Linked DNA regions of Yarrowia lipolytica. The main gene of each other region encodes a partner of the protein of the gene in region 2 in a complex. Links are inferred from orthologs where the notes say so. Each region holds a gene or a part of one and is shown on either strand. Other genes may lie near its edges. The genes, in order: YALI1_C25758g, YALI1_B04470g and YALI1_B17132g.

What was found.
Region 1: YALI1_B04470g (region 2) and YALI1_C25758g share a complex: the UniProt entries of both Saccharomyces cerevisiae proteins name them as parts of the PAM complex. The link is inferred for Yarrowia lipolytica from reciprocal best matches to the Saccharomyces cerevisiae genes PAM17 and MGE1.
Region 3: YALI1_B04470g (region 2) and YALI1_B17132g share a complex: the UniProt entries of both Saccharomyces cerevisiae proteins name them as parts of the PAM complex. The link is inferred for Yarrowia lipolytica from reciprocal best matches to the Saccharomyces cerevisiae genes PAM17 and PAM18.

Annotation. Positions count from the first base shown.
Region 1 is NC_090772.1:2,569,122-2,580,184, forward strand, and holds YALI1_C25758g (uncharacterized protein), read left to right. Parts: upstream 1-6,761; coding exon 6,762-7,508; downstream 7,509-11,063. Other genes in the region: YALI1_C25703g (uncharacterized protein), read left to right, coding at 1,277-4,375; YALI1_C25742g (uncharacterized protein), read right to left, coding at 4,924-5,099, 5,144-5,243; YALI1_C25747g (uncharacterized protein), read right to left, coding at 5,332-5,596, 5,643-5,752; YALI1_C25782g (uncharacterized protein), read right to left, coding at 7,783-9,120; YALI1_C25789g (uncharacterized protein), read left to right, coding at 9,839-11,063. UniProt on the Saccharomyces cerevisiae protein: Essential component of the PAM complex, a complex required for the translocation of transit peptide-containing proteins from the inner membrane into the mitochondrial matrix in an ATP-dependent manner.
Region 2 is NC_090771.1:441,558-452,232, reverse strand, and holds YALI1_B04470g (uncharacterized protein), read right to left. Parts: upstream 5,175-10,675; coding exon 4,572-5,174; downstream 1-4,571. Other genes in the region: YALI1_B04523g (uncharacterized protein), read left to right, coding at 1-1,175; YALI1_B04502g (uncharacterized protein), read right to left, coding at 1,323-2,021; YALI1_B04497g (uncharacterized protein), read left to right, coding at 2,522-4,189; YALI1_B04466g (uncharacterized protein), read left to right, coding at 5,563-5,985; YALI1_B04433g (uncharacterized protein), read right to left, coding at 7,064-8,099, 8,691-8,851. UniProt on the Saccharomyces cerevisiae protein: Component of the PAM complex, a complex required for the translocation of transit peptide-containing proteins from the inner membrane into the mitochondrial matrix in an ATP-dependent manner.
Region 3 is NC_090771.1:1,708,170-1,718,875, reverse strand, and holds YALI1_B17132g (uncharacterized protein), read left to right. Parts: upstream 1-5,629; coding exon 5,630-6,076; downstream 6,077-10,706. Other genes in the region: YALI1_B17155g (uncharacterized protein), read right to left, coding at 1-2,606, 2,689-3,277; YALI1_B17112g (uncharacterized protein), read right to left, coding at 6,548-7,663; YALI1_B17105g (uncharacterized protein), read left to right, coding at 8,292-10,250; YALI1_B17050g (uncharacterized protein), read right to left, coding at 10,437-10,706. UniProt on the Saccharomyces cerevisiae protein: Essential component of the PAM complex, a complex required for the translocation of transit peptide-containing proteins from the inner membrane into the mitochondrial matrix in an ATP-dependent manner.

The DNA.
Region 1 (11,063 bases), on a different chromosome or scaffold from region 2:
ATGATGGCAAATGAATGAACGTCAAACACCCTAATCATTTCGACGCACATGCTTTTTCTGACGTATGTAACTACACAAAAGTCCTTCTATAACACCCTGCCATTACTCAGCCTCGGCTGCACTCGTCTGCCAAGCCAGTTATCTCTACAGAACATCCAGCCTGGAGCTATCATGAGAGAGGAGGGTGACTCATTGTGTGGTACTGATTAGAGCCGTGTGAGCCTAGCCAAGTCGGGTACTGAGACATTGTGAGGCCCCAGCAGGAGCCGTGTGTTCCTTGCTTCTGTGCACACGCTCAAAGGCCGATGTGCCAATCGCCAAAGGCCGATTATTGCCCTGGTGCGTCCTTGTTCAACGCACGGCTTTGACGTCTCTAAATTAAGCATGATGCTAATGTACGACAATACAACCAAGACAGGTGTGGATGTGTGTCACGTAGACCGAGTTTCCCCTTTTGACGCAGTACTACTTCGAATTCTCCTTTTCTCGACGCCCGTCAAACCCATCTGGCAGCCATTTTTCACGTTGCTGTTCCTAGATCGATAATCGGGACGTTTGCCTAAGCTGTGTCAAAAGTCGAGCAAATATCTCAGAGACTCGCACGAGAGTGGCTTTCTCCTTATCTTGGCCAAGACCAGAAGACACGGTCGGTTGGTGTGTGAAGGATACGATGATTGCACACTTTTCCATATCTGGAGGGTTGGAGCCGTGCGTCTTGGCGTTATCAGACAGCAGAAATGCAGGGTGGGCCAATAGAAGGGCGTACGGAGGACCATACGGTTGGCGGCGGGTGCAAAAACCGAGTCGAAAATCGCCAAAAGAAACCTTTGCCCGGTATCCATTCGTTTCCACACGTTTCCACTTGTTTTTAGCGGTTTCTACAGACTTTGGGCCCTCTTCATCACCGTCCTTATAGGGCCAAAAAATTATGTGAAGCTAAGTTTCAGATCGAGAAGTGACGGTAACTGACCATGATCTAGGTTCCTACTTGGCTTGGTACATTCCTGTAAGTAGAGCATGAGGGCATGAGGGGTAGCTATTTTATGGGAGAAAAAAAAGCCTGAGAGAGGCGGAGTGATTGCAGAGAGTGCAACAAGCCCGGCTATACAAAAATAACGCGAGAAAACCTCGTAAATAAAGCCATTTTCTCCCCCCAAACACCGCTGGTAACTCCCTCACGTGCTAATATCTCAACTCCCGCAGATGTCATGCGCCGGCCCCTCCACACTTGTTGTTGCGAACGTCACAACCATCTCTCTTGGCACAGCGCCGTGTCATGCGAAAAGTAAGGGTCAAGAGGCATAATCTGCATTTGCCGGAGGAGCACAATGGCAGAGTGCCATTCCCTGGACGCGCCCATGGCTTAGCAGGCCATATACATATAGACCGGGGTGCCGGAGGATCAGACTCCATACCGCTTCTGGAAGAACAAGACGAGTCTCTGGCTGGACCTTCCCACGATCCCATAGACGACTCTTTTTCTATAAGCGCAGAGGACCCGTACAACAGCTACCACAGCACTCCGTCTGACTTCCTCAATAACTACAACGACTACCCCGACGAGCCCGGCATCCCACTACTACCAATGGAGAAAGACCACACCCACGAAAAGGGCCACTCGGATGAGCACGTCATCATCGACACCGCCGAGGTGCTCGAAGACACGTGCTTCTACGTGGCTTACAAGCTCGGCATTGCCACCGTTGACGACGAACCCTTCCCGGAGTCCGTTTCCTACATTGCCCTCAAGGTTGACGAGATGGGCGATGAAGAGGCGCTAGCCATCCTCAAACGCCACGTGGAGTACCACAAGGACGACCGAAACATCCCCGAGTCGTCCATGCTGCTCTGGCGGTCGCTGATCCGCCATTCTGAAGAGTATGCCCAAGGAAACATCTCCGAGTCTGGAGAAGCTAATCCCTCTCTTTCGGCCAAGAAGAACACTGAGTCCACAGTCGACAGAGTGGCCACCCGAGCGACCTACGAAGACGGATCTGCCGATCTCGACCCCGCTAACATGTCTCCCAACGAACTGAGCCTGGCTATTCGATACCATGCTGCCATTTTCCACTACTGGTCTCCCTACATCGAGGTACGATCAGTCACAGACCCCTTTGACGACCCCAACCTGCCTGTGGAGACCATCCGAGCGTACCTGGCTGGAATTATCTGGCTCATTGTTGGTGCTGGAGTCAACCAGTTTTTCTCTGTGCGAATGCCTGCCATTTCCATCTCTACCATGGTCTGCCAGCTGCTGCTCTACCCCACTGGCAAGGCACTGGAGTATATTCTGCCCGATAAGGGCTTCACATTCCGTGGTACCCGACACTCGCTCAACCCTGGGCCCTGGAACAACAAAGAACAGATGCTGGCCACCATGTTCATCTCCGTCGCCATCGGAGGCACCTACATCACCTCCTACAACCTGTTTGTGCAGATTCTGCCCATGTACTACGGAGTCGACTACGCCCGACAGTTTGGTTACACTCTGACCCTGACTCTTGCGTCGCAGTTTATGGGTTTTGGTTTTGCGGGTCTGCTCCGAAAGTTTGTCGTCTACCCTACCAAGGCCATGTGGCCAACTCTGATGCCCACTCTGGCTCTCAACCGAGCCCTGCTGGTCAAGCAGAAGCGAGAGAAGGTGCACTCCTGGACCATTTCGCCCTACAAGTTCTTCTTTGTTGTTGTCGCATGCGCGTTTGTCTACTTCTGGTTCCCCAGCTATATTTTCCAGGCTCTGTCAACCTTCAACTGGATCACCTGGATTGCTCCTGACAACCTCAACATCAACATCGTCACTGGTGCTCAGGGTATGGGTGTCAACCCCTGGCCTACCTTTGATACCAACAACATGTTTGCGCTGTTTGATCCTTTGGTTCTGCCACAGTTCACCGTTCTTAACACATACGCTGGAATGATCCTTGGTGCCTCTGTTATCCTCGGACTCTACTACACTAACACCAAGGGCACTGCTCACCTGCCCATCAACTCCAACCGAATCTTTGACAACACTGGAAAGTCATACAATGTTTCTCGAGTGCTTACTGATGGAACCTTTGATGACACCAAGTACCGAACCTACTCGCCCCCCTTCTACACTGCTGCTAACCTCATGGTATACTCCAGTTTCTTCGCCATTTACACTCTTGGTTTTGTCTACATTGGCCTATCCGAGTGGTTTACCATGGTCGAGTCTTTCCGAGATGTGAAGCAGGCCTTCATCGACATCTTCATGACCACGAAGTTCTACATCATGCGAATAACCAACCGCAAGGCCACCCGACACGATATGGACAGTTCCCAGTTCACCAACCGACAGGACGAGCCCTTCTCACGAATGATTGCTGCCTACCCCGAGGTCCAGAACTGGGTCTTTATTGGTCTCCTGGTGGTATCTTTTGTCCTGGCGGTCATTGCCATTCGAGTGTGGCCCACAGACACTCCCATCTGGGGTCTCTTCTTCTGCCTGGGTATCAACCTCGTCTTCCTGATTCCCTTGACTCTCATTCTTGCATACACTGGATTCGGATTCGGTCTCAACGTGCTCGTCCAGCTCATTGTTGGTTACGCTCTCCCAGGTCATCCTCAGGCCATGATGATCCTTAAGGCCATTGGCTACCAGGTTGATGGACAGGCCCAAAACTTCATCACCGACCAAAAGGTGTCTTACTACACTCACATGCCCCCACGAGCTTTGATGCGATCTCAACTCATTGGTACTCTGGTTGGAGCATTTGTTTGTCTCGGTGTGCTCTACTACCAGCTTGAGATTGAAGGTATCTGCACTCCCGAGCAGGCCACCACAACCAAGTTCACCTGTGTGTCTCAGAACACCTTCTTCTCGGCCTCTGTCATCTGGGGAGCTCTCGGTCCAGCCAAGATGTTCCAGATCTACCCTGCCATGAAGTACATGTTTCTGCTTGGTGCCGTCGTTGGTCTCATCTTCTGGGCCGTGCAGTACCCTCTGCCCACTTTTCTGGCCAAGAAGTTCCCCCAGCACCGAGAGCGAATTCTGTCTTTGCAGTCTACCCTGAAATTGTTCAACCCCGTCATCTTTGTTGGCGGTGTTCTCAACTTTGCTCCTTACAACCTGTCCTATGCTACTGGCGGTCTGTACGTCTCCTTGCTCTTTTCCTGGATCAAGCGACGATATTCTGCCTGGTGGCGTAAGTACACCTACGTTCTTGATGCTGGTCTCATCACCGGAATTGCATTCTCGGCCATCATCATCTTCTTTGCAGTCCAATACAAGGGAGTGGAGCTCGAGTGGTGGGGAAACACTGTGTCTTACGACAACCTGGACTTTAAGGGTGCCATTCTGAAACCCCTGGCCGCTGGAGAGACCTTTGGTCCTTCGCCTGAGAACTTCCCTTAGTTTATTTTATTTAATTGATATGACCTGAACATGACTGTTAGTAGTTGTATGAGTGCATAGGGCTGACAGATGATCAGCATACTGTAAATGACACCTGGAGCAGTGACATTTCATTGGAGCTGGATCTCGAGCTGAAGAACGTGCAACTACAGACAACCAGAACGACTATCTGTTGTAGTTGTATGTTTTTGTGGTCAGATACAAATCCTCTAATCACACACACTCCAAGCTATTCGATTCAATTCGATATCTCTTGTGCCATACTGGGGCGATATGTAACCGTAGACGTCTAGCTCTTAGGTGGAGGGGTTGCAGTGCACTGAAGTGGGCGGTGAATTTTTTTCCAAACATCGGACAGTATTTGAGATGGATGCTGTTGATCGATCTCCATAAAAATTATATCATTACACTCCCCACGATCGAGAGAACAAGATAAGCCATCAACAATGCAAATCCAACAATTATTCACCCTGAAATTCTTTATCCTTTCCCGGATACATCGTCTCCGAGATGCGGCTCGCATTTGGGTCGGACAAAATATCATGTTTTCATGCGGCTGGAAAATCCAATGAGGAATACTGGAGAAGGGTTTGTCGGTTTTGGGCCAGATAACAGGGTCTGATATCAGTGCAAAAGATCCGTGTGTATCCGGAAGATGCCTTTCGACGCTCCAGATGCATGTGTTTTATTCTATCTCGTTCGGACAGGGCAATTGGCATGTCCACTTTTCAACTTGATCTGAGGAGACTGTTCACTGTGGAGGGAAACAGTGCCCTGATGAGTTAACTACCAGTGAATCCCTCTCTGCAAATGTCATCTGTCTTATCAGTGCTTGTGTCACCGCAAACATTAGTCTGTGCTGAAACATCGGTACTCGTCAGTACTCGCTCTCGTAGTACTCGCTCTCGTCAATACGGGTACCGTACTCGCACTTGTATCATAAGTACAAGTATGTACTATCTTCCGATCGCTCCATTTTTGCGGGGAAGATAGCTACCCCAAATCTCCGTGCATTCCTTTTCCTGTATTCGATATCTGGCCAGGATCGGGATTGGCCGCGAAGAGCCATGCAGTGCCGGAAGACTATGTACCAGTTGCAGACTAGCGAGACATGACTTTGCTACCACAACCCCTTGAAGTAGATAGTCTTCCCTGTGAGAGACCTTTCCTGAGAGAATGGTTTGAGTCGTTCTTTCACAGCCTTGATGTGACGTTCTGCCGCTCCGTCAGCTTCGGGATGGCCCACATTTGCTATTCGAAATGACACTCTCGGCCATTTCTGGAACCAACTGTTCTGAAACAGTGGGTCTTGGTCGGACACAATGCTGATCTGTTGATTGTCATTGATCCTGTCCCCGCGATGCACATCGTTGTCATGTTTTCGCTTGTGCGGTTGTGGAGCAGGGTGGGTACATCCTTCTTTCACCCAGACAACAGGTTATTCACTGATCAGTATGATGCGATGATAACACTCTTTTTCAGATAGCTTCGAGTGTTGCAATTGAAGTTCCGTCCTTGTCTATCTCAGGGACTGACCAGAGCTATGACGGTACACTTCAATTACGGCAATGGCGGCAACTATGAACCTCACAATCATAATTGGCGAGATGGTACGTGAGTCTCAACTAACACACTTATCATCAACACCACTAGACTACACATCGCCATCCAACGACAAATACGCAAAGCTCAAAAATCCAACCAATCAAACAGTCGCCGATTGCAACGCCAAACATAGCGTGGTTTCACAACTTTTTCCCACCACCCCCGCGGAAGATTTCGCGTGTCTAGCCGCACTCTGTTTTACAGCTTTTGGCATGACCATGCATGATCTCATCACCATCTCATCTGGAGCATGTGGTGTAGAGGGCGGCTATGGACGATATAGTCGCATATTTTGCATATTTTGGATCCAGACAGAGACAATTGCGGGCATTAGTCACTCGCACGCTGACTAACCCATCGATTCAGGCCACACGAATGTGACGCCTTTCCCCAGCGGTGGCAATTGTTCCGCCCCTTTCTCCGGGTTGGTCACGTGGTCTGCGGTGCAAGTCTAAGTGAGGGGGGGGGGGAAATGAAGGAGAAATTGGTCATGGGTCTCGGTAGTAGTCAATTCACGTGCTTTCGCGGCCTAAGACATATGCCTGAGACAGGGCAACCCATTGTTGCTGGTTCGCACGCCTTGCTTAACTTATGACGCCTGACCTTGAGCCAACCGCTGTCAGATGGATTCTCCCAACTCCTACTCCAACCTTCGCTAAGCTTCCACTTCAAGGGCAACTGTGGGTTCAAAGTTAATTTTGGGGAATTGAATTTTCCATTCTTCGAGACTAACAACACCTCTTCATCCTCCCCCAAACACCGCCCGAAATACACACACAAAATGATCTCTCGAATTGCCCGTGTCCAGCGGTCGGCCGCCGTCCGATCCACCGTCCGATCCGCCATGCGACCCGCCACCGTGGCCCCCATGGCCTCCTTCAACCTCCGATCCCGATTTTACTCCGACAAGGCTGAAACCAAGGCTGAGGACCCTGAGGCCGCTGCTGAGGCTGCTGGTCCCGCGGCCAACGCCGCCGACGCCTCCGCTTCTGGTGCGTCCGCTGCCGAGACCAAGACCGCCCCCACCGCCGAGGAGTACGAGGCTCTGCTGGCCAAGTTCGAGAAGAAGGACAAGGAGTGCGCCCAGTTCAAGGAGCACTACCAGCGAGCCATCACCGACTTCCGACACCTGCAGGAGACCACCAAGCGAGAAATCAAGAAGGCACACGACTTTGCCCTGGCCAAGTTCGCCAAAGACCTGCTGGACTCGGTCGACAACTTTGATCGAGCCCTGGGCGTTGTCCCCGACGAGATCAAGAACGACCGAGAGAACAACAAGGAGATCATGAACTTCTACGACGGCATCAAGATGACCCAGGATATCTTCGAGAAGACTCTGGGTAAGCACGGCATGAAGAAGCTCGAGCCCGTCGGCGAGGTCTTCGACCCCAACATGCATGAGGCCGTCTTCGAGGCCCCCCAGCCCGACAAGGAGGCCGGCACCGTCTTCTTTGTCCAGCAGACCGGCTTCACTCTTAACGACCGAATTCTGCGAGCCGCCAAGGTCGGAGTTGTTAAGGGCGAGTAATTCCACCACAAATTATCCAATATGTATATAGTAATGAGTAATGTTTCAGAAAATGTCACCTGTAGATAAAATCAATACCCAAAAAGGTGATCGGATGATGAGTTGTACTAAAGATTCAGATTCTAAGGACTCAATGGCCTTATTCAACATCAATTGTTCATACATGCTCGCAAAACGTGATAAAACATGGATCGTTTACTATTTACATATACATTTACAAGCACTTGTACTTGTACTTGTACTTGTGCGTGACACTGTTCGGCACACTATCGTACTATCTCAGCTTAACGCCGTATCGGTCAACAAGCATCTCCTTGAAAGCGTCGAGCATCTGGTTGATTTCCTGGTTCTCGAGATTTCGCTCCATGGACTGGAAATTGATTCGGTAGCACTGCGAGGTCAGACCGGTCTTGGGGTTGGTGAAGGTATCGGTGAGAGCCACGTTCTCGACCAGATCGCCGGCGGTGGCTCGGATTAGCTCCATGATGTCGTTCTCGTGGATGGAGTCCAGAGCAGCGCCCTCGGGCAGCCAGAAGGCCACATCTCGGTCGGTGCCGGGGTACTTGGACCAGGATTTGAAAGCGGTGATCTCGTTAGGCTTGAACTGCGACAGGAATCGCTGGTCAAGAGACCAGAAGAGTCGAATATCGGGGATACCGAACAGAATCATGGCCAGGCGCTCCAGACCAAGACCAAAGGCCCAGCCGAAATGGGTGTGCTTGTCAAGACCTGAGGCCGAGTACACGTGATCACGAACAAGACCACATCCGCAGCACTCGAGCCAGTCACCCTTCCACCACACCTCAATCTCCCATGAAGGAGTGGTCCAGGGGAAAGTAGTCTCGACCCATCGAACCTTGAGGGGCTTCTCGAGATCGGGATCAGTAGACCCAGCAACCTTAGCAGCTACCTTGGCACGCTCGAAAATATCTCCAACAAGCAGCTCAATGGACTTCTTGAGATGGGCAGCGACAAGCTCGGTTTCGGTATCAGACATGTAGGGGGACTTGGGGTTCTCGGGGTGCGAAACCTGGTCGACGTCCTCGACAATGAGGTTGGTAGCGGGGATTGCGGCCACGTCAGCTCGGAGCTTCTCAATCAGAGCCTCCTCGGAGGGGTAGTCTTCTCGCTTCCAGGTTCGAGCTCCCTCCATCTGATGGAACGCAGGGTAATGAGTTCGGTCAATGGTGTCTCGACGGTAAACGTCGGCAGTGACGAAGAAACCGGGCGTCTTGGTGTGCTGGAAACAGTGGACCTCATGGGCACTAGTGTGAGTTCGAAGAAGGGTGTCGTGGTTGATATAGTAGGTGTCAGTCTTGGCTCGTCCCGGATGGTCCTCGGGGAATCCGAGCTGGTCAAAGTTCTCGTGTTTGCTGACGACTGGATGAAAGTTGTTGTAGGCAGTGTAGCCCATACCCTCGAATCGCTTCTCAATGATAGATCGGATGATTCCAACAGGATGGGAGTCCTGAAGGTGCAGGTTTCGACCAATCAGAGACGAGATGGTCGGTGTGATGTTGGTCCATTCGTCAACAGCATGCTTCTTGCCGTCCACCAGAGTCGATTGGTGTCGAATAGCGCCCCGAAAAGAGGTCAACAGACGTCGTGACATGGTTGTGCGCGTGGTTGGAGGAGTGATACAACCTGCAGGAATATTGACGAGTTTTAAGTTCGGCTACATGATGGGAGAAATCTCGAGCGGGTTACTGGGGGGAGCGTTTGAAGCTGATAGTGACGAACTTTCCATTGCTGATTTGTCACTGTGCGATTTGGAACTGATTAGCCCTTTTATATTCTCATAAATACTCCTGGAACGTGTATTATTGAACAGGTATGAGATTTTTCGTATGCATATTCAAGTCGACTTATTTGAGTTCAGAATGTTCAACCTGAGAACCGAGCGGAGAGGCACTATGCCTCGTGTTTTTGGCTGCAATTTTTGGCTGACTAATCTTAAATTTGCAACATCTTCACTTTATTGACGATTTTGTAATGATTCTTTTCTCAATCACTTGTACTTGAAAGGTCACATACGCCTATTGCTCGGTTCTCCAACCATACTAAACCATGTTCCAGAGTCAAGTAAAAAGTGCATCTCGGATCATTTTCTTAGTTGTGAACTGAGCACCGCGTTGTGCAACTAGGGAGATGTATATTTAATTATTTTGCTGAAAAATCCTATACATACCCCGTATGACAATGTACTGATCTCTTTTTTCTTTCTTCTTCGAGTATTGTTCTGATCATTTCATCGCTTCCATAATCACAGGATTCCTGCACCTACAGTAATCCACCTGCAGCACTTTCAGATCTCTCCAGACCACCACACTATGTTTACGAGGACGCTGAGGGCGCTACGGCCTCTGTCAGCCGTGCAGCCGCTGAAGATGGCGAGTCGCCATTACTCGGCAAAAAACACAACCAAGAAGATCAGAAATATCGGAATCATCGCTCATATCGATGCAGGAAAAACCACCACCACGGAACGAATCCTGTACCTGTCTGGCACCATCAAGCACCTCGGAAATGTCGATGAGGGAGACACCACGATGGATTTCCTGCCTGCTGAGCGGGAGCGGGGTATCACCATTGCCTCGGCCGCCACCAGTTTCAACTGGAACAACCATACCGTCAATCTGATCGATACTCCGGGGCACGCTGATTTCACCTTTGAGGTGATCCGATCAATTCGTGTGCTGGACGGAGCTGTTTGTATTCTCGACGGAGTGGCTGGAGTTGAGGCACAAACCGAAAAGGTGTGGAAACAGGCCTCGGAGATGGGCATTCCCAAAATTGCATTTGTCAACAAGATGGATCGAGCTGGAGCTGGCTTTGGACGTACTGTCAAGGAGATTGTGAGCAAGTTGAGAACACGTGTCGCGCTTCTGACCGTTCCCGTGTTTTCCAAGTCGTCAGATCAGGTGTTTGAGGGCGTTGTTGACATTTTGAACGGATGTGTCATCACATGGACTACTGGAGGAGACGGAAAACAGACTGTGGTTGTTCCTGTTTCCGAAGCGTCCGCCGAGGTGCAGGAAGAGTATCAAAAGGCCCGTACTGCACTGGTTGAAACGCTCACTGAACTCGATGAAGAGCTGGTTGAAAAGTTTCTGGAATCTGAAGATTACATGCAAATCACTACTGAAGACATTAAACGGGCCCTGAGAACCGCCACCATCAACAACGACATTGTTCCAGTTCTGTGCGGTGCATCTTTTCGAAACATTGGCGTCCAGCCCCTCATGGATGCAGTTGTCGACTTCCTCCCTTCTCCGGCAGAACGTCCTCCTACTGACGCTTTAATTGCCAAGTCGTACACTGGAGGTAAGAAGTCCAAGGTCATTCCGGAACGGGCCATCACTCTCGACGATTCGATGAAGAACCTGTGCTGTGCTCTGTGTTTCAAGGTTGTCCAGGATCCCCAAAAGGGCACACTTGTCTACGTGAGAGTATACAAGGGCGAGTTGAAGCAGAACAGTGTCCTATACAACACTACATCTGGAACCAAGGACCGTGTTTCTCGTCTGCTCAAGGTTCATGCTGATACCACCTCAG
Region 2 (10,675 bases):
CAGGGCCTGCTCGCGGTCAGCACGTTAAAATGGATGCCTTGGACGCACTGTGTCTACAGTCATTCATCGACGTGATCGGAGAGGTTTTGGCAGGACTCACAGAGTACCCCATGACGACAGAGGTACTCCCCCAGATAGCAGTGGAGTGCACGTGTATCATGCACGCGGCAGTGGCCATTGGCAGCATTGTTCTGGCCAAGAGAGGGACAATAACCGAAGAGCAGGCCCTGAGGTTGCACGGAAGAGCCACCATGTCTCTTCTACAGGCGCTGACAGCTGTTCCCAAGGACGACGAGGCGTGTTTGTGTGCCTCTGTGCTGCTCAATATCTACGATCTGTCGTCAGATGGTGCCCAGGATACTTATATTCATCTCACTGGATCGAGGGCTCTCATGGCTGATCTGGATTACACACACGACTCGAACGGCATGCCTACAAAGCTGACACCATTAGCACGTATGTGTGTTTGGGCCAACATATTCAACGATACCCTGGTGGCCATCAGACACTCGCTTCCCGTGTTCTGGGACCCAGACGAGTGGTTTGACCTTCTAGGATTGTCATATTGCTCTCCTGAAACAGCGTCTCCTACATGGTGGTTTCGACGCATCCACTATCTGTTGGCCAAGCTACACACCTTCTCTTGTGTTCCAAGGGTGCTGACCGAGCAGGAGACGGTTGAGAACGAGCTCCACAAGTCGTTTCAGGCCCTCTGTGAAGACGCAGACGTGTGGTTCGGCTCAGTACCGGAACCAATGCGACCCACTACCGTCATGGAGACTGAAAGCCCGCTCTTTCCGTGCATATACATTGTCGAGCGAAAAGGAATCACCGCCATGTGCATGTACCACTCATTCATGCTCATTGCCTCGAGGTGTGATCCCAGTGTGCCCCTTTCGCAGATGTACATGCGGCAGCCCACAACCGTTCATCACGCCTCGCGCATCTTTGGTATCGTAAAGACCAATATTTGCGAATGGCTGGCTTCAGGGGCCATGTTTGCCCTACGAATAGCTCTTGAATCGCTTGTAGAGCCCGCGCATCGAAGCGAGGCTCTTGAATTTGTCAAGGGCATGGCTGCCACCTATCATTTGAATATCAGTTCACATATCGACGCAGTCAGAAGCCACTGGCAGGAATGGGATAATTCTTCCTCTAACGGGTATCACCAATAACTTCCCTCTGTTTATATTACTGTACTAATACTAATGTAGCAACACTTGTACTCATGAGTAGATTGCTCCAATACTACAATACCTAGACCGTCTCTTATACACTGTATTACTGTATTGATCAATAAATAATGGGCCACTAGCCGCAGCTTACAAGGCTGTTCCTCGCTCAAAGTTGTCTCTGATCTCCTTGGTGTACTTGTCGTACTGTCGGTTGAGCTTCTCGTTGAACTGCTTGTTCTTGTCGGAGATGTACGTTGCATGCTGATCGTCGGCTCCTGCCTGCTTCCGTCGCTTCATTCGCTGCTTGTCGCCCTTGGTGAGTCCGTTCACGAGTCGATCCAGAGCCTCAGGTGTGGGTTTATGGTTGAAAGACGGCGTATGATGTAAGCCAGTCTCCTTTTCCTTCTCGTATGTCTCCAGATCGGGCTTAAAACTGGCCAGATCTTTCTCGTATGCTCTCTGCGCGGTCGAAGACATGTCGTGGACACCACTTTGGCTTTCACGTTCTCGCTTGCGCTCCTTCTTCTCCTTCCATTCCTCCGTCTCCTTGACTGTCCAGTCCCATGCTCGTTTTCTATCAAAGTCCTCTCCACGCTCCTCGGCCTGCAGTTTTTCCAGCTCAAACTCAGCCTCCTGCTGTTTCCGCTCCAGTAGCGCATCCGCCCGCTTGTTCACCTTGAGGTCCTTGTCCTCTTCGAAAAGTGCTTTTCTGTTGGACGTCGATGAATCGTTCATTTTCTGTCTGATGGCACTGAGCCGTGCCAGACGGGCGGCCTTGGCGTCCTCCGCCGATGGCTTGGCTTCAGCCGCCTTCTTTTCCTTCTTGTTTTCCGCCTTTTTCGCCATGATGATGATGTGATGCGAAGGTGATTGAATCTAAATAAAAAATAACGGTGATTATGCACGGCGGATGTGATGCGGTGGTGTGAAGGGAGGCGAGACGAGCGTATTTCAGAGGCTCTGGGAAGCTGAAACTTGACAACTTCCATATTCTAGACCCTGAGGAACTACCTTTTTTCTACTCGGCAAGTTTGATATTTCACAACTTATTGGGTCTGTTAATGAAGGTCTTATTCCAGCGCCACCTTCAACTAAAAATGAAACAGAAGTATATAACTCAAGTGGCACGTTTAGTTAATTCTTCCTCAACTTGAGCTTGAGATCATAACCTGTGCGTATAGAGTCCATCAAAGCAATGCTTCAGAGAAGTCAGAAGAGAAAAACGTGTCATATTTGAAGTGTTAACCTCAAGTACTACATTACCACATTCCTCTTTATTCTCTTCAATATATTACTGCAAGTGCTCGTACAAGTATCGACTTAGGACTCCCCACCGATTTTCTCGAATGCACCTTCATGCACAACTTTCAAATATAGTGCGTGAAACTCAACGCGCAGACCAACCATCTACAATCTCAACCATGGCTTCAATCGACAGTGTGTTTGAAAACGCTGGTTTCGACGGCGCTAAGCGACGCAAGACGGATGACGACGCACAGCCCGAGGAGGAGGCATCATTGCCAAAGTCGCCCCAAATTGAAGATGAACACATTGAGGAACGATTTGCAATCCAGAAGTTGGTAGACGAACACAAAGATGGCCCCCAGGAGGCTGACTGGCTGAAGGGTCTTGTTCTTGACCTCGAACGTGCTATTACTTCAAACACGGAGAAACGAGAATTGTTTGCTAATGAACCTCTGAAGTTCATGGACTCTGAAGTGGAGCTTGAGAAGGCCATTCGAGCTCTCAGTGTGCTTACTACCACAGATGATGACGACTTTATAACTGTCTACAAACGATTTGTGTCCGACTTTGAATGTCATGTGTCTTTGATGCAGCTTCTGGACCATCCCAACCTCGACATTGCACTCATCACCTGTGAGATCTTCCACGAGCTCATCACTCGCACCAACGATTTCGCTGATCCCGATGCCCTCACTAGGTCTCTATGGTCTAACGACGACTTCATCGATTACATCATGGAACTGACCGACAAAATCGTCAGGATTGATCCTACACAGATCCAGTATATTCTCGACATGGGAGACGTTATGTTTGTTGAGGACGATATCACCCCACAGCTACGAACGCACATCTTCCCCAAGTTTCTGGATCTTCTCGCCGACAAGAAATCACCCCTACTTTTGCATGATAGATCAACCATGGCTGATTACTGTCTTACTTGGCTCACCAAGTACGAGTATCGAACCGGAGTGTCTGCTGAACGAGTGGAAGCACTTATCAAATACCTGATGGCCTACGTTGATAAAGATCCCACCAAGGGGGACGAGGAGGAACTGGCTGGATCGATAGCTGGTATCCTCGCATATATTCTCACCAGTCCTTCCGGACGAGCAGCTTTCGCTGAAGTTGAGGGTGTGGATGCCATGGTGAGGCTCATGGGAGGAGAGGGCAAGTGGATCAAGAAGCATGCTGCTCGTATTATCAAGGCTGCTCTGAACTCTTATGATTCCACGGAGTTGGCTACAGTGTTTGTGCAAGCCAAGGGTTTGGGTGTTTTGTTCAAGGCTCTCAAGGCAGGCAAGAACAAGCATTACAAGACCTATAGTGAATATGGGGAGTTTCTGTGGGCCATATATGCTTCTCTGCTGCGTCTTTTGCCTTCGGATTCGCCTGAACGAGTCAGAGTGATAGCCAAGATGGACAAGGCTAAGTTGGATGAGCTTAAGGAGCTCAGAGATGACACACAACAGGCTGTAGATACCATGATTCCCGCACTGGAGAGTGCATTGGCCAATGAGGAGGACACTGAGGAGATCGTGACTGACATGGAGATGCTAGGAAGCAGGCTGGTGGTGGTTCTGGACACGATATTTGCATGGATGAAAGTAGAGGGTCAGGATATTGAGGTGGACAAAGAGGTGCTCAAGCAGGAGAGAGATAACAAGGCTCGGTACCTTGGCTGGGATGATGATAGCAATGAGTATCAGGAGATGATGAAGAACAACAAGGATATAGTTGGCATGTTGGATTATTTGCTTGAGAGCAAGTGAGTGAGTTTAACACACAGTCATAGCATGTACAACTTGGAAATATAGATTAACACGCGTATACTACAAGTATGTACAGTAGTCTTGCCATTGGGGCTGTACTTGTTATCTATTTGTGGTCATAGATTGACTTCTTAGATTGACTTCCGATGTTAGATTGACTTCTGATTCGAGACATGTGGAGGAACTTGGGTGATTTGAGGAACTTGGGTGCTTTCAGTACATGGCCATTACAACACATTTGTTCTATTGCACCTATCTCTTCGTTTCATACTCAATTGCCACTATAATGGCATAGTCCAGCAATTGCTCTCATATTGCCCTCCATGCACGCTCCATGTGTACATACTACACTCCATTTCAGATCATTGTTTACTATATACATTTAGACCTCTCGGGCACGGTTGTACTTGGCGCAGTCACGCAGCCATCGTCGGTAGTCCTTGAGAGAGCCGATCTTCTCGCCGTAGTAGTCGGGCACGGGGTTGGAGACGGACTGGTATCGAGGGTTCACTCGGTTTTTCTGGATGTGCGACAGGAAGTCGGTCTCCTTCATGAGGAAGGCGGGCCACTGCTTGGAGTTGGTGGCCTTGAAGATGAGCTGGCCGATGGTGGGGCCCAGGAGAGAGCCCATAAATCCAGCTGCCACCACACCCAATCCAGCCGCGGTGAAGGCATCCAGACCGAAGAAGACGTCCTGCTGCTCGAGATCCAGCTCGGCCTCGGAAATGAAACCCCATGCAAGAACAGAGGTGGCCACACCGGTGAAAATGGAGGCCACAAAGTTGATCTGTCGTCTTCGGGTTCGCAGAAGCAGGAATCGCTCCCAAGTGAGGGGAACGGGGGCGGTTCCGGCGAATCGCTTGGTCATCTGACCAACTGAGGGTCGCACGAGGGTAGGTCGGGCAAGTGCAACCCGGCTTCTCAGCATCTGAAGGGACATTGTGTGTATGTGTTGTGTAGTAGAGTGGAGTTCTTTTAATACCATGGTTCCACTAACATTGGGTCATTTGCTGTACATGTACTCCGGGTAACCCAGTGCAGGTGGGAGGTACTGGTAAATCTTATTTGAAAAGATTCGATATTTGCATGGGGCGAAATTGATACTGGGTAAAATCAAAGCACACAACTAACGGAATGGTGAGTAGAGACGACATCCAGACGCTGTACAGCTCCATCTAACACAGAACGAGGGAAACACACAGTTCCTATACAAGGCCAAGGCCACCAAGAAGGACAAGGCTGCTGCCAAGCGAGAACGACACCACACAAAGCTGTCCAAGCGAGGAGGCATCAGCAAGGCTGATTTGAAACGAAAGAAGCCCATTCATGATCGACCGTTCGACTACGGAAACCCTCTGAAAAACGAGGCTGCCATGCGACCTGTTTCCCAGGGGGTGACTTCGGTGAACAAGGGCACTCCTTTGCCACCTGCTGACATTGATGCCATCATGGCTGATGGTGCCACGGCTAAGGAAATCAAGCGACAACAGAGACAGGAAGCTCGACGTCAGCGAATTCGAGAGACCGAGACGCTTGCAGCCAACCTCGACGATCTTCTGGACCCTCTCAAGGCCGAGAACGGAGGCCGAACACGAGAAAAGCTGGATCATACCCCTAATCCCCGGAATGCTCGAGGTAACGAGGCCATCATCAAGGCCGAGACCAAGCGGTTCAACAAGATCCTCAACTCCAAGGAGTATCAGGCCAGTCCGTTTGCGTCGCTTCAGGCGTTCCTGAAGACCCAGATTCCCCAGAACGAGCCTGCTCAGCCCAAGGACAAGAAGATGCACATGTAACAGACCAGTGCGGTATGTTGAAAAGACAATGGAAGGGATGTGAACATAAAAGGAGGTACAAGTATAGTTATTGCATTATAATCTTTATGGACCGTGTGGACAAGTGGACAAGTGGACAAGTGGACAAGACGGAGGCGTGATGTTTTTTCTATAGTTCATGGATAGGAGGCCAAGTTGATGCCTCGTACGAAGGCTATCCTGTAGTCTGATGGGTATGACTATAAGGTCAGATGCACCAATACGAGTTAAGATACGAGGCAATGTGTGCAATCTTGCATACAGTGGGGGAGTGTACATACAGTGGGGGTATTTGTTGTTCAATATTCCCAATTTGCTTTCAATTAAACGCTCAACTGTCGCACTATGGAGTTGTGTGCATACTGTATACTTGTCACTGACACTGAAATCCATTCGGTGTGGGCTCTAGACAGCTACTGTAGCTGCAGTACAGATACTGTACTTTTACTTGTACAGCAGAGACACAAGTCTTTCAAACAAGGACCACCCTAAATCGCCACTACAGTAAGGCGAACGACTCTTCAAAAAGATAGATTGCTATCTTATCGAGCCATATTGCAGTTCTTTCCAGCCGTGTGATCGCAGTCACCGTTGGTTTTCATATCAAGTAATATAATAATCCTCCCCAATATGCCATTTCCCTCCTAAACATACCCGTATTGTGGGGCCATGTGCTCCTTTACCGTACATATAGTATGAGTGCGGGGCGAGCGGCTGTTGATGCCCCACTCAACCGGCCTAAGGGAGCATTGAGTATTTGGGACTCAACAGATATGAGGGGATATTGGGGATAGCAATGTTTCATGTGGATGGGGCATGCAATTGCTTCTGTGGATGTGTGTGGTATGTCTGAATGGTGGGCTTGCTGGGCTGAGTAGTTGACATGTCTAAGAAACAGCCATGTTAGTTATCATTCCTAAGTAAAATGAAATAAGGTGTACAGCATCACATAACAAGAAGAACATAACCTGAAATTTCGTGATATCACGATACATCTACATCCGCTACGCTCGCAGACTTTTCCTTCTTTTTCATATGCAATAAAATACAGTCTATCTATCTAGTTGGCGTGGTAAAGAATCTCGGGGAGATCATCAATCTTGAGCTCACCGTGGATAATGCCCCAGGTGGACTCGAACAGAGGGAAGTCCTTCTGCATGTTCTTGTTCTTGAGCAGCTCGTGGACCTCGTTGCATGTGATGACGCCCTGGGCGGACTGGCCGTTGAGAAGCTCCTTCTCCACGTCCTGGATGGTCTTGCCGGAGCCGCTCTCCTTTCCGAATGCTCGGCCGACCTTGAAGTTTCGGCCTCCAGCGCACGAGGTGATGAGATCGGCCACACCGGCAGACTCGACTGTAAGAGTGTTAATATCAGTTTCGGGGAAGAATCGCTTGGAGAAGTTGATCATCTCAAGCATGCCTCGTCGCATAATTGCGGCCTTGGCGTTGTCTCCCCAGTTCTTGCCCTCGACGAAACCGGCGCAAAGGGCAACAACGTTCTTAAGGGCACCTCCGATGGAGACACCGGCGACGTCCTGAACGCATCGCACATGGAAGTAGGGTCGGTGGAACAGAGCCTTGAGCACATCGTTGGTCACATCACCCTCGCCAAAGAAGTCCTTGGGTCGGTTGTAAGCAACGGTAGTCTCGGAGTACTTCTCCAGAGCGATCTCGGTGGCGAGGTTAGCCCCGGACAGAACACCGCAGTGGAGACCGGTCTCGTTCTCGATAACGTCGGAGAGCAGGTAAACACCCTGGGGGGTGACATCTAGACCCTTGAGGCAGGAGATGGCTCTAGCCTTGGGGTTGACGTGGCCCTTGAGCTGCTTGCAGACACCAGCCAGGAACTGATGGGGCAGGTTGAAGACGATGATGTTGGCACCCTCGACGGCCTTGAGCAGATCCGGCTCGGCGATCAGGTTGTGAGGAAGTTTGATTTTAGGGAGGTATCGCACGTTCTCGTGCTCAGCGTTGAAAATGTCGGTCAGGTTCTTGCCGTTGACCTTCTCTTCTCGAACCCAGACTCGAACCTCGGGCTCAAAGAGCTCGGGGTGAGCAGTGCAGTTCTCGGCGACAATCTTGGCGACGGTGGTTCCCCTGATGTTAGTATGGTAAGCGGAGGTGAGTGGCCAAAGGTCACAAACGGGGCAACGCCGAATGCGCTGAATGACTGACAGATGACATATAACGGCATTCACAGCAGACTGGGCTCAAGGTGGAGGAGGGGCTTGAAGAGAAGGCAAATAGAGTACTTCTTGAGACTCTTAGAATTGCTCTCACACTTTTAAATGCTTCCAGAAGACCTCGCATTGCCACTGTCGCCACTCCACTAAACTCCCCATCGAACACTTCATTAAACTCGTAGAGTTAAGCAGTGCAGAGGAGGTGCGTGTCGTGTCAGTGTAGCCGTGTGCAACTGTATAACTTCTTCTGTCGTCTTCTGTTGCTGTCTTCTCATCCAGTTCTGTGAATTGCCCATTTCACCATGATCTGTATGTGTTCCTGTTGGGGGTGACCCAAAGGAAGCCGTATCTGCGGTCTGTGGTGTTTCTCTGTTCCATGTGTTGTGTCGTGCTTGTTTGTTTGTCTAGTTGCTCTCGTTTCAGCATCCATGTCGCGGTTGTCGATGGGTTATATTATATAACCCCCGTTTGAATCCCTTGAAAACTCCTGTCTTTTTTTACTCACCAGTTACCAGAACCAACAACGGCGACCTTGAAAGGAGCCTTGCCGGCGGTGTTGGCTGCGCTGAGAGGCGCGGAGGCGGTCAGCAGTCGAAGCTGTTGTGTGAGACGGTTGACGGCGGACATGTGTTTAAAACGCAGGGACGATCGAAGTAGAGCGCTCATGTTATGGGGATGCGATCTCTTATATCTTGGTTGAGTAATTTTCAGAGGCGCCCGCCAGAGAATAGGGTTTAGCCCAGCGTCTGAAAGCGTGTTCGGAAAAACACTTCGTTGGGCCGAGTTGGGGTGGGGGAGGGGAGGTGGAGATGAGCCAGAAGACGGTGTTCTGTTGCCACTGCCGTCGATGCTGGTCTACCGTCTCTTCACCAGACCCAATATCGCCCTACAACGTCTTCACAACTCCACCAACACGACGAATATCATACAAGCTAATGGTGAATAAGGTGCTGGAGCCGAGGACTTTAGCGGAGGTAGAGTGGGGTGCAGGAGAGTGGCAATATGAGAGCGTAAGATGAAGAGCGGCAATGCGATTTTTGGAAGCAACTTTTTTTCGCGTCATCCATCATCTTGGTTCTGTGGTTCTTCCTTGTTTCCCTATAAAAGCCCCCATAGCTCGCCACCAGCTGCTCTCCCATGTTATATTGCTACTGTCTCAATAAACTCCACCGTCCCCAACGTTGGGATGAACCTTTAACTCTTGGTTGCATCTACCAGTGTGAATATGGAAGACGCATGTGAAGGTAAGCGAGGAGAAGAAACAACTATTGACGACTTTTACTAAGGAGGAGAGCAGCCGGCGGCACAGCTGACAGGAGGGGTATATGGGTGCAGAAAGATGTGCCTGGTCCAATTGAACCAGCTACAGGTGCAGCAATAGCGTCCCCCAATCTGCCTCATAGACTACTCTCCCTACCTCGGCTCGGTATCTGTATACCCACGGGTAGACACACACTTCTTACCTCTGGATGTGCAGATGGCGTATCAGAGTCCAGAGAGACGGAGATAAGGACGCAGCGGTGTCGGCCTAACGAGCGCCAGAGAGAGGCAGAGAGAAAGGCGCATAGGAAGCTTGGGGTGCACGAGTGCGGCTGTCCCGCCAAAGCTGCAAATCTCGGAAATCAAAAAACTGCAAAACGCGAATTCCACAACTTTGAGTACATATTGTACCTCGTACATTGTATAATGGAAGTTTATGGAAGGTATATGTTATGGACAGTGTGTGTGGTGTGGAGGCTACACGGACTCTTCACGTTGAGTTGTTGAGTGGCGTCTGGGTGTCACATTGTCTGGGTTACATTGGAGGCGAATGTGTTTGAAACCACTGTCTGGTCACGGTTTCCTCCTTCATCACGCGCACTTTCACATTGGCCGATCGTCCCGAAGAGCCCGTTTCATTATCGTGACTTGTTCGCTTTTTCGCCAGTCGCTGTCTGTTTTTGCATCAGCGTGAAAAAACCAGAAAAGACACGAAAACAAGCTTCCAACCTAAAGCCAGCCCAGACGTCATAGCTCGAAGCTTGGACCTGCTGTCAGAGTGCCAAAAGTGTGAGCTTCGCCATGTGCAACTGCTACAGCAACCACCAATGTAGCGTTGCTGCGCACCGTGCTTTTTGTCAAAATGTGGCCTCAATACTGTATGGACACTGTTTATTTGCCGCCTTTAACCTACAGCATCCATGGGCTTCCCAGTGTACTTGCTGGTATCGGTGTTGGCTAGCGCAACGCTCATTACTTTGTATCAGCATAGTTTTTCCGAACCGAGGCCCAACGGTCCACTCCAAAAAAAAATGTCACGCTAATAACACCACACACCCGTGACGCACACTTGTCATTCCCCTGAGTCCCAATTCGCCCCCTATTTCCTTTCCGCGCGCGCACGCTTTATTACTGCATAAAGTGTGGGGACCCCAGGCAACTTCGGGCTATCTCGGGTCGATCGGGGTGTGTCGGGACCGAGGTTGTGTGGGTCATTCGTGAGCCAACTAT
Region 3 (10,706 bases), about 1.3 Mb from region 2:
TCCGTTTCTCTCAAAGTAGCTTGTCAATATGGTAGACTCAGGGCCAATATCGCCGTAGTAGACGGTTCGACCTCCGGAGGCTAGGAACAAAAGTCGATCAAACTCCTGGAAGAGGATAGCAGAGGGCTGATGGATGGTGCACAAAATAGCCTGTCCATTTGCAGCCAGTTTCTTGAGTAGTTTAATAATAGACCAAGCAGTCTGAGAATCAAGACCAGATGTAGGTTCGTCCAGAAACAACAGCAGCTCAGGCTTGGCAGCCAGCTCTACTCCAATCGTTAGACGCTTTCGCTGCTCAACGTTGAGACCCTCGCCTGGAACACCAACAATAGCCTCAGCATAAGCCTCCATCTCAAGAATTCGAATAACCTCATCTACGTAAGCAAGTTTGTCCTTGACTGAGATGCTGGACGGCTGTCGAAGCAGAGCAGAGAACTCGAGGGACTCGCGTACGGTAGCAGTAGACGTGTGAATATCCTGCTGTTGAACATAACCAGTCTTTCGTTGGAAAGATTCGTCTCTGGGTTCTCCATTGACCAACATGTCGCCAGTAATAACACCTGTCGCTTTTCGGTCAGCCAAAACATCGAGCAGGGTAGTCTTACCTGCACCTGAAGCACCCATCAGAGCTGTCAGAGTGCCTGGCTTGACCCAACCATCAACATGGTCCAGAAGTCGTCGTTCTCCATCCTTGACTTTGGTGTCATAGCAAACATCCTTCCACTGGAATATTCCCTTTTGGGCCTGGATGTTAATGGAGGAGTCTTCGGATGCAGGCTCCTCGCTCTTCTCACCAGCCATCATCGCACCAGCCTCCTCGTCGTTGGCAGCATGTTTCTTGATCTTCTTGAGGTATGACTTCCGGAACACGAGCACCTCGCCTTTGGACTTGGCGCCCTGAATATATTCTACCGCGACCAGGTAGCAGAAGCCAAAGAAGAATATAAAACCGAACAGGATTCCCATGTTTCGCCACAGATGAGCATTGTAGTACTGGTACGCGAGACCCAGAAATCGGTCGCCGTTGACCGACGATTCGGCAGGTACAGAGCCAACAACGGAACACGACTTGTACTGGAGATCAATCTGGTCGTATTCTCCTCCCGTAGGGACGTATGAAGCACACCCGTAGTCTCGATTTCGGAACTCGTTCACCATTACAGCCTCGAATCCATAAGCGACTGGGTTCAACCAGTTGATCCACCGAGCCCATCCGTGCATGTAAGTGATGGGAAGCGAGAAACCAGTGTAAATGACAAGCGCCAAGATGATGACTGATGCAGGAGCTAAGGCTTGCTCGAGAGTTTTGGTGATGGCAGCCATGCACCGGAAGATCATGGACATCGCAAGTGTACACAGAAGCGAGAAGAGGAAGAAGATGAAAAATGGACCTGGTTCACGTCTCAGGTACGTCATGAAGTACAGAGTCAGATTGACAGCCAGGAGCGTAAGGATTTTAGTAGGGAATGTGGTCAGAATGGACGCCAAGGCTTCAGTAAATGGATGGTATAATGCATACCGCGTTTGTTTCTCCACAATCGGACGTTGTTCGTAAAGCGATAAAATTTCCAGGACCGAAGAGAAGGCGTTGAGCAGAATAGCGAAAAAGAGAAGAGCTCCTCGAGAGAAAAATGTGTCTGTGGTCTGCTGCATGTTATAGAACATGGAAGACAGAACCAGGGCCATGATGAAGTTTCCAACCACAATGGAAATATCTGTTGACATGTCTCCTTTGATACGCAGAAAGCCACGCCAGAGACACAATCTGGTCTGCATGGGCCATGATATCGTATACGGAGACTTGACACGAGTGTGTCTAGCCTGTGACTCCTTTCGCAGCTCCATGAAGTGATCCTGAGACTCTCCACCCAGCTGGAACTCGGTGTTAAACTCCTCAATCTCTTGTAGGAGCTTCTGACGAGCCTGTGACTCCATCCAGCACTTTTCGAAGTCGTCAGGAGTTCGAGGCACCTTGTTCTCCCACCCGGGCTGAATTATTCGCTCAATGGGGTTGGTTAGCGACGTGAGGAAATCACCCGTAGTCTGACGGTCTGCACACTCGAAGCCAAGATCAAGGAAAAACTGCTTCGCCTCCTTTGCGAGTCCGAAGTATATTTGTCGTCCCTCGTACAAAACACAGACCTTGTCGAACAAGTCGTACGCCTCTTGAGATGCCTGATAAAGAGAAACAAACATTGAAGAGCCCATCATCTCGGCTGACAGACGAAGAGACCGAATGAACTCGGTGGCATTGGCTGCATCCAGCCCACGTGTACTATTATCCCAGCACTGGAGAGGAGCTCCACAGACGACAGACTCGGCAATAGATACTCGCTTACGCTCTCCTCCAGAGACACCACGCACGAAATCGTTGCCAACTTTGGTATCCATAGTATGCGTGAGACCGAGGGTTGCCATAGTAACGTCTCGCGTATGTTTGGCAAACTGTTCACGTGATACTCCCTCCAGACGATTGTGGGGTGTTCGAGCGAGAGCTGCAAACAAGAGAGTGTCTCCGACTGTCAGATGGGGGAAATGGACATCCACTTCTGCGTTGTAGACGATTTCTCCCCGGGCGTTTTTAGTCATTACCTTTCTTGGGACGCCTATGTTAGTAAAAAATGTCGACAGAGAAAATGTATACTGATGAAAACCTCACAAAGGACTGCGTAAGATGTTCGTACTCACCCTGATAATTCCATTCTGTCTTATCCTCAATGTGAAAGCCATATGTTTCACAAGCCACAGACTTCAGGAATGTCGTACATCCCGATCCTGGTCTTCCTAGTACCACACAGGTCTCTCCTGCTCTCACCAGACCGTCAAAGTGTCTTAGAATCTGCACCTTGGTGCCCTTGTTACCTCCAAACAGCTCCATGATCATCGGGCCAATCGCCAAAACGGAGTTAGAGAAAGTCTTCTGGTACTGCGAGCCACCTCCATAACCATAAGCGGCCAGGTTCTTGAATGACACACCCGCTGTGATATGCTTGGTTGCTCCAAACCGCTGCTTCAATCCCAAAACGGTCTTGATCCATTTACGAGCGTTGAACTCGTCAGATAACGGATCGAGTTGGGGGTCCGAGTTGTCGATGTAAGGATTGACGTCAAGGTTAGGCTGGACAGTGTCGGATCTGAGCAGCTTTTCGTTCCCCACAGTGCCCTTTTCCGTGTCGTAATCGTCGACCCTATCTTTATGGACGGATTCTGCTATTGACCTGATTTCTGCATCAATGGTGGGATCCAGACCAGTGTAATCTGGTGGTGTGCTTTCCATGCTGTTTTTTAGGAAGAGAAGTCGGCTTCTAAAAACAATTGCTTTACAATGACGAGAGGAAAGTGAGAGACTCGTTTGTGGGATTGCTCATCACCTTTAACAGTATGCGTGATTCGACACTGCAGCACCCCATGAAGCTTAACTATAATTGCATATATTTACGCAAGCTGGGGAAAGGTGTTAGAGTGTCATGAATGTCATGAATGTCATCTGGGGGCGTTTTTACTGGTTTAGTCGATTTGTAATGCCTCATAATACTCCCGGATAGTCATTTTACGTGCAATAATGGTCAAAAACGACAAGTGTACATAATCTACTAACCGCGCCTCCACCTGCGCCGTGCAGAACAGTGAAGGTACATTAAAATTAAACACAAAATTCAATGCTGCCGTATGTTTTGAGGAGCGCAAAAGTGCGGAAAAGTCACGTGAGGCGTTTGTGTACGCTCCCAGGGAATTTTTATTACGGGAATGGTTCTATGTCTTGCAATGCGTATAGTAAGTGGCGCCACGTTCAAAGCCGCTCAGCACATTCTCAGCTAGTATATCTCGATACGAGCTGACAACAAGGAACATATTAAGCGAATTTGAATTTAAACGAGCAAAAATGAGCTTAATTGTGAAACAAATCAAACAAGGGACAAGAAACATGGCGAAATTCGGTAAAATTCATAGAGAGGAAGAATCTGATGGGAAACAATATCTGATATAATCTGAAAAAAAAAAAAAAAAAAAAAAAAAAAAAAAACACTACAAGTACAGGCCAATATCCCCTATTTCCTATTCTACGTTGGAGTGCCGTGTATAAAAAGGGTCCAAAGTAGCTTCGTAACCCCAAAAGCATACCCTGCCTGGATAACATGTTACATGCCACTATGACATTTGATGAGGACAAAGACATCACAGACGAGTATAGAATATACATACCGGAGGAATTGTCACGAAGGTCGCGACGGCAAATGATGGTGCATACGGGGGTACTTGAAAAGGTCGAGTGAGATTGAAGATGCTACAGGCCATACGTCTGTGTACATACTGGTGTGGCGATGGGAATTAGGGACTGTGGTCCCATACATGTACCACAGCACAGAGAAGGGATCTATGGTGTTAGAAGATAGCTCATCTGATAATCACATATACAGTATCATATTCTCATACCATGTTGTAACATCAGTTCCCCCAGTGCCTTAGTGCCCATTTTTCTTGATGTAGCTACAGAAATCGATGCTAATATGTACAACACTTGATGTTATCATCAGGATGCCAACTTGTAACGAACTCGACTCTTGCCACTACTTTTATCGCCGGTACCACTAACTGGATGCACCAGAATGGCAATTAGCCTGTGGTTTGGTCACTGGTGTAACTACAATACTCGTGCCTGTAGTTAGACCAAGCTCGTAAATCAATGATACTGTAGCATGTCCATCAACTTATAGTCTACTGTAATAGATTGTGCGCGATCTACAGTGCACTGGTGATATTCTAGTAGCTACACTACAAGCTCTAGCTACCTCTATAAGCTCCAGTACATTCAGCTGTGGTCAACTTACCAAGATCAGGTACATCTTAGATCTCGTACTAAGTCACCGGCTCAGGAAATTGGGACATCTCTTCGTTTATATCGTCCTCACGACTCTCCAGTATGATCAACCCTTTCCCTGCACACACACAAAACTCAACCCCGCTTAATAAGGGCGTTCGGAGATACTGCGGGACAGGTTTTGTGGGGGATTCTAATGACACAAGAAAGAAAACACCGTTCTAGAATGGATGTGGGTATATTTATCAGCTTTAAATAATCAGAGCCAATTAATAGATCCCATAGACACCTATATGATTGCTGGAAAAACCCATTCATTCGCCATCTCTATGTATTAGAGTTTAGGATTGTTATGGGGAGAGATTTTGGGGGTTACTTATACTCAACTAAATTGGGTGTCATTTTGGGTAAAAATTGTTCTGACAGAAACAACACACTTCCAATATATTATCTGTGAAAATTTATTCCAAATAGATCTACTATTAAACGTCTTATGAGCATCCCGAAGTTGAGATCCGCAAAGCTTACCTCATTTTAACCTCGGTATTTAGTTATACTCGATCACTTTACACGGGGACGTGTGATAGCTCCTAAAGGGAAAATGTGGTATCATTATCGTACTCTTCTCGTTTATAGAAGCACACTGGTATGTTCTAAATTCCCTTAGCACACCTACATCGTCCCCCAAAGTCTTCCCTGTGTCTTCTGCATGCTGCCAAAACCAACCACCCAAATTCGAAACTCAAAGTATATTTTGGTGGTGAAAAATTGAGTCTGACATCACCACTCACCACAGCACACTACACAACCATGAGCACTACCCCCGTCCAACCTCTGCAGTCGGAGCCTCTGATGGACTCCGAGACCGGCGTCGCTCCCCAGATCGAGGCCCCCCAGGTCCCCGAGGGCCCCAAGAAGGGCATCGACGAGCAGATTTTCGACTACTTTGCCGAGCACCCTGTCCAGGCCACTGCCGCCACTCTGGTCGGTCTGTATGCTCTGGGCGCTGTTTTCAAGCGTCCTGCTGCCGGCGCTCGAGGCCAGTTCTTCAAGGGCGGGTTTGAGAACAAAATGGGTCCCTCCGAGGCTCTGCAAATTCTGTCTCTTCGAGACGCCGGTCTGACCATGAACAAGCTCAAGGGCCAGCACCGAAAGATCATGTTGCTGAACCATCCCGATCGAGGCGGATCTCCCTACGTTGCCACCAAGATCAACGAGGCTAAGTCTGTTCTTGAGAAGCGGGGAGGACTCAAATAAACAACATGATCGAAGCAAATGTTGTGTGTTACAGGTGTGTTTCCCCTTGTGATGCTGACTCACAACGGCTTTAACCACCAGTAACTGCGGAGCATCATTGCAAAGGGCAATAAGAAGGATGTATATAGGAACGGCGGACGCCAGTACGGTTGTCCGTTGCTAATGAGATTGATGGATTTGAATAGTGTGTAGAAGAGAACATATCATTGTGAGGTCGACACATTTAGTTTGCGTGTAATGGCCCAGGGTGTATTTATTGCAGTCTTTCGAGTCTGCTGTTGTTATAGATTGCGTTTCTGTGCTCGCGAGTATTCTGGAAAGTTCCATGTCACGGATCAGTCTTAGTCAACCAGGCATCAATACCAATATGAACTACCAGAAGCCACCAGTACGGTCTGCATGCGTATTTCATGTTTATATTATCATCTACTTGTCTCCTCTGACACCTGCCATCAGAGAGTTCGAAGCACTCTACGTTTTGGTGAAAATACACACCACATCTTCGTCTCCAATCTTGTGCGAAAGACCACATTTCTGCGGCGAGTGCTTGGCCGACACACCCCACACCAACGCGTACTTGAACTTGTTCTTCATGTCTCTGTGAATAGTGTCACAGACATCCTCGATAGTGTTGTGAGTGGATCTAACCACGGTGGGTTCAGCGAAGTCCGGAAGCTCTCCCTTTCGTTTTGTGTAGATTCGTAGCATGGCGAGGTCGGCCCAGATTCGTTCCGTCAGATCATCGAGACCCAGCTCCATGGATGCAGAAATGACCACGGTGTCAGGCATGTGAGCAAGCCGGTCGACCTCCTCCAGAGACACAGCGTCACACTTGTTGTAGCAGTATAGACACTTGATGTAGGATCTGTGGTCGGCGTGGATCACGTCGATCATATCCTCGACCGTCACGTTTTCATCTCGGATCAGCACGTCGGCGTTGTGGATCTTGTAGTCCTTGAGCAAGTGCATCACCATCTTCTCCGAGAGGTACTTGGGCGGGTTGGTATAAGAAAATTTGACGCCTCCTGTCTTTTTAATCTTGAAATAAATGTTGGGCGGCTCCTTGTTAAGTCGGATGCCCACAGACTCGAGTTCTCGCTCGAGAATAGCACGCTGCTCCTCAGGCTTGGTAGCATCCAGAACCATGAGCACCAGGTCGGCAGTTTTAGCGGTCGAAACAACCTGTCGACCTCGACCCTTACCCTCGGAAGCACCCTGAATAATACCGGGCAGATCGAGAATCTGGATCTCGGCTCCATTGTACTCCAGCACACCAGGAACTGACGTCAGGGTAGTGAAGGCGTAAGCAGCAATCTCCGACTTTGTGTTTGTGATTTTGCCGAGCAGTGACGACTTTCCAACAGAGGGGAAGCCAATAAGAGCCACTCGGGCATGTCCAGACTTGCTGACCTCGAATCCTTCTCCCTTGGAAGTCGAACTTCCAGGAGCAGGCTCCAGAAGCTGTTGTCGATATCGAGCGAGCTTACCCTTGAGCAGACCAACGTGGTACTCGGTTGCCTTGTTTTTCTGCGTCCGAGCCAGCTCCTCCTGGATCTGTGTGATCTTTTCTGTGATTCCGATAGCCATCTTTGGGGAAAAAGAGTTGTGCCGTTGTCGAGATACAGTAGTTGAAATTTAAGAGTAGCTTTTCACCTGCATGTATTAGAGTTACACGTACTGTAGGTGGAAGGCGTAAGGGGAGAGGATGGATAGCAGGTGGTTGTGGTTGTTTTGGGGGGTATACAACTATTAAGGAAGCTGAATTATTCTATAAGGAAACAAAGGTCGATCCTCATTGATAAACTTCTCATTGATACTATTCTGGTCCTCGTAGCGAGAACAGGTCTGATCACATTGTATGTAAGAAAATACAGTCATAAGTGGGAATCGAATCAAAGACACATCTTAGTCATCCTGATACTTGACTTCCTAACTAAACTTCAACAAATACCTCCTGTCGAAATCAAACTTATAGAACTTCCTCAAATTTCAATATAATCCATAATAATAGCCCCATACCCCTTAATTCGGTTTCTTGGTACTTTCCCTCGTTAATTTATAATCTCACCTCTCCCCTACAAGTACGAGTACCAAGTTCCATTGACTACCCACACCACGCCGCTCCGACCCTAACCCCAAAATTCAGCATGCATAACTCCATTACATGTAACACGACACAACGCATCACTCCACGCTACGCACTACAATAGCAATCATGTCTCTGTTTCTCGAAACAGCAAAACTCACAGCCAGTGCGCAAATACACGCTCTTGAGACGCTTCTGGCGAGCTCTCCAGCCTTCTGCGCCTCTCAAAAGGAAGACATTTTGCACATTCTTCTGGTTCTCACTCCAGAATTGCTGGATCCAAAGGAATACATGGGGCTCGTCAACAAGGTGGGAAAGGGGCAATTGGACAAGGGACAAGATACGGGTAGTGTGGTTGGAGATGAGGGATTCATTCCAGAACTCGTGATCAAGTCTCGAGAACAAAAGCTGCTGGCATACCTCGATTCAGTGGTACCCAAACCTGTGCACAACTTTCTGGAGGAACGAATCCGACTCGTGTTCAAGGTATCACATGATACGCAGTTGATGGAGCAGCTGATCCTGCAGAGTGGTTACCACAACAACTCGGAGGAAGTTGATTGGGTGGCAGGCGTACCCCAGGTGCTCATCAACTACACGCGTCTACATGGTATCAACCCTGGGTTGACAATTGATGAGCTGGAGAACGGAGATCCTTCCCACGTGATTGAACTTCTGGGCTCGCATCTGAGAACGCCCTCTGCTGAGGACGACTTGCAGCTTGTGTTGGAGCCTTACGTTGCTTACAAAAACTGCTGGGCTGTCTTCCGAGATTTTGTGAGTCACGTGACACAATCCAATACACCTCTTTTAGCTACTTTGGCGCATAACGTGACTTTCCCCGAGTCCGAGCGAGATGCTTTCATTCAGATCGTGTTGAAGAACTCTTTTGAAGCTAACGATACTCAATGGGATGCTCTTGCTCTGATCACAGAGTCTCCTGCGGTTACTGGAGCTAGTCATTTGACCAGCCATTTCACGAAGCAGCTTGTTGAGACCTGCCGGTTGTTGGAACCTGCTATTCCATCTATCACCCTTCAACGGGCTAATAAGGTGACTACTTCTGGGGAGGAAGTTCAAGTGGATCTTCTGGATGACTTTGTGTTTGCTGAGGACTGGTTAAAGCGTACCTCTGACCAGTGGCAGACCTTCATTACTGCCACAGAGGTTCTCGTGTCGCTGAAGACTGTTTTCAGCACTCTTTCCGATTCCCAGGTTAATCAGAAGGTGTTTGAAGCATTGCTGGGAGCCTCTCAATTTGAAATTGCCAAGACCACGTATATTTTGGGTGGTCTCGTTGATTCCGAGTTTGTTGAAAAGGCCATTCTGGCTCAGTTTTACACTTTCTATGATGCTGCTACCAATGGTAACCACACTCGAGGAAGCATGAAGAGTGCCAAGCTTGTTTTGGGTATGGCTGACACCAATACACGTACCAAACACCAGTTCAAGGTGGCCCAGTGTCTTTTGGAGGCCACAAACACGCTGTCTAACTACTCTCTAACCCTCAAGCCCGGCACTCTGACCCGTCCTGTTGATATTCGCAACCACGATGCTCTTCAGGTGATGGATCGCGTTCTGGATCTCAACCCGGATGCTTACAAGAACTGTCCGAAGCTCATCCACGTGACCAGACAGCTATTGGATGGTCTGGACAAGTCTGAGTCCATCTCGGACGCTGACATCGAGACTCGCATTTACACACAGGCCGTGACCGCTGCTCTGGTTCATGACGATTTCGACACTGCGCAGAAACTGTGTGCCGCCCATGAGTTGCCTTGGACTGCATACTTCCAGGTGGGCAAGTACGTCAGTCCGTCACGTGACATGGACGAGTTAGTGGCCCTCAAACTCGAGACACTGTCCACAGCTCTGGCCAAGTGTCCACCAGAACACCTATCAGCTGTTCTGCATGCTTGGAGAGACGTGGAGGAAATGATGGTGAGCCTGCCTGAGTCACGTGAGTCGGTGGTTCAGCCTTCGGTAGTGTTGGCTGATGTGTCTCGGGAAGCTGGACGTAAAAGAGACCAACTCAGCAGCATGTTGGTCAGTGGTCTGGGATGGGCTATTGGTGCTAACAAGGAGTAGCAGTAAGAACAAGGCAGAGGCTCAAGCTCTGGAAAAGCAGATACACTCAGTATCGGTACATATTGTACAGTAAATAACTTATACATCCTAATTACGACTCAGACTTAGAAGTTCTACTCGCTGTGTATACATCACCCACCGTTCTATGAAATAAATACAAATACATTATCTATCAACTTCCCTCTTCTACCCCACAGCTCTCATGGGCTGGACATTTTCTTGCTGCACCTCATGCGGCTCGTCGTCCTCGTACGTGGTTAGCGTCTTGTAGAACTCCACCACCTTCGGATGGGTCTTCACCTTCTCAGGTAGGAAGTTGAGAACCTGGAGTCCCTCCTTGGACGTGGCTCGACTGAGTGCCACGTATGCCTGGCCTCTCTCAAATGTCTTGGCCAGGTCCACTTTGACATACTGGAGAGTCTGACCCTGGGCTTTATGGATTGACAAGGCCCAGGC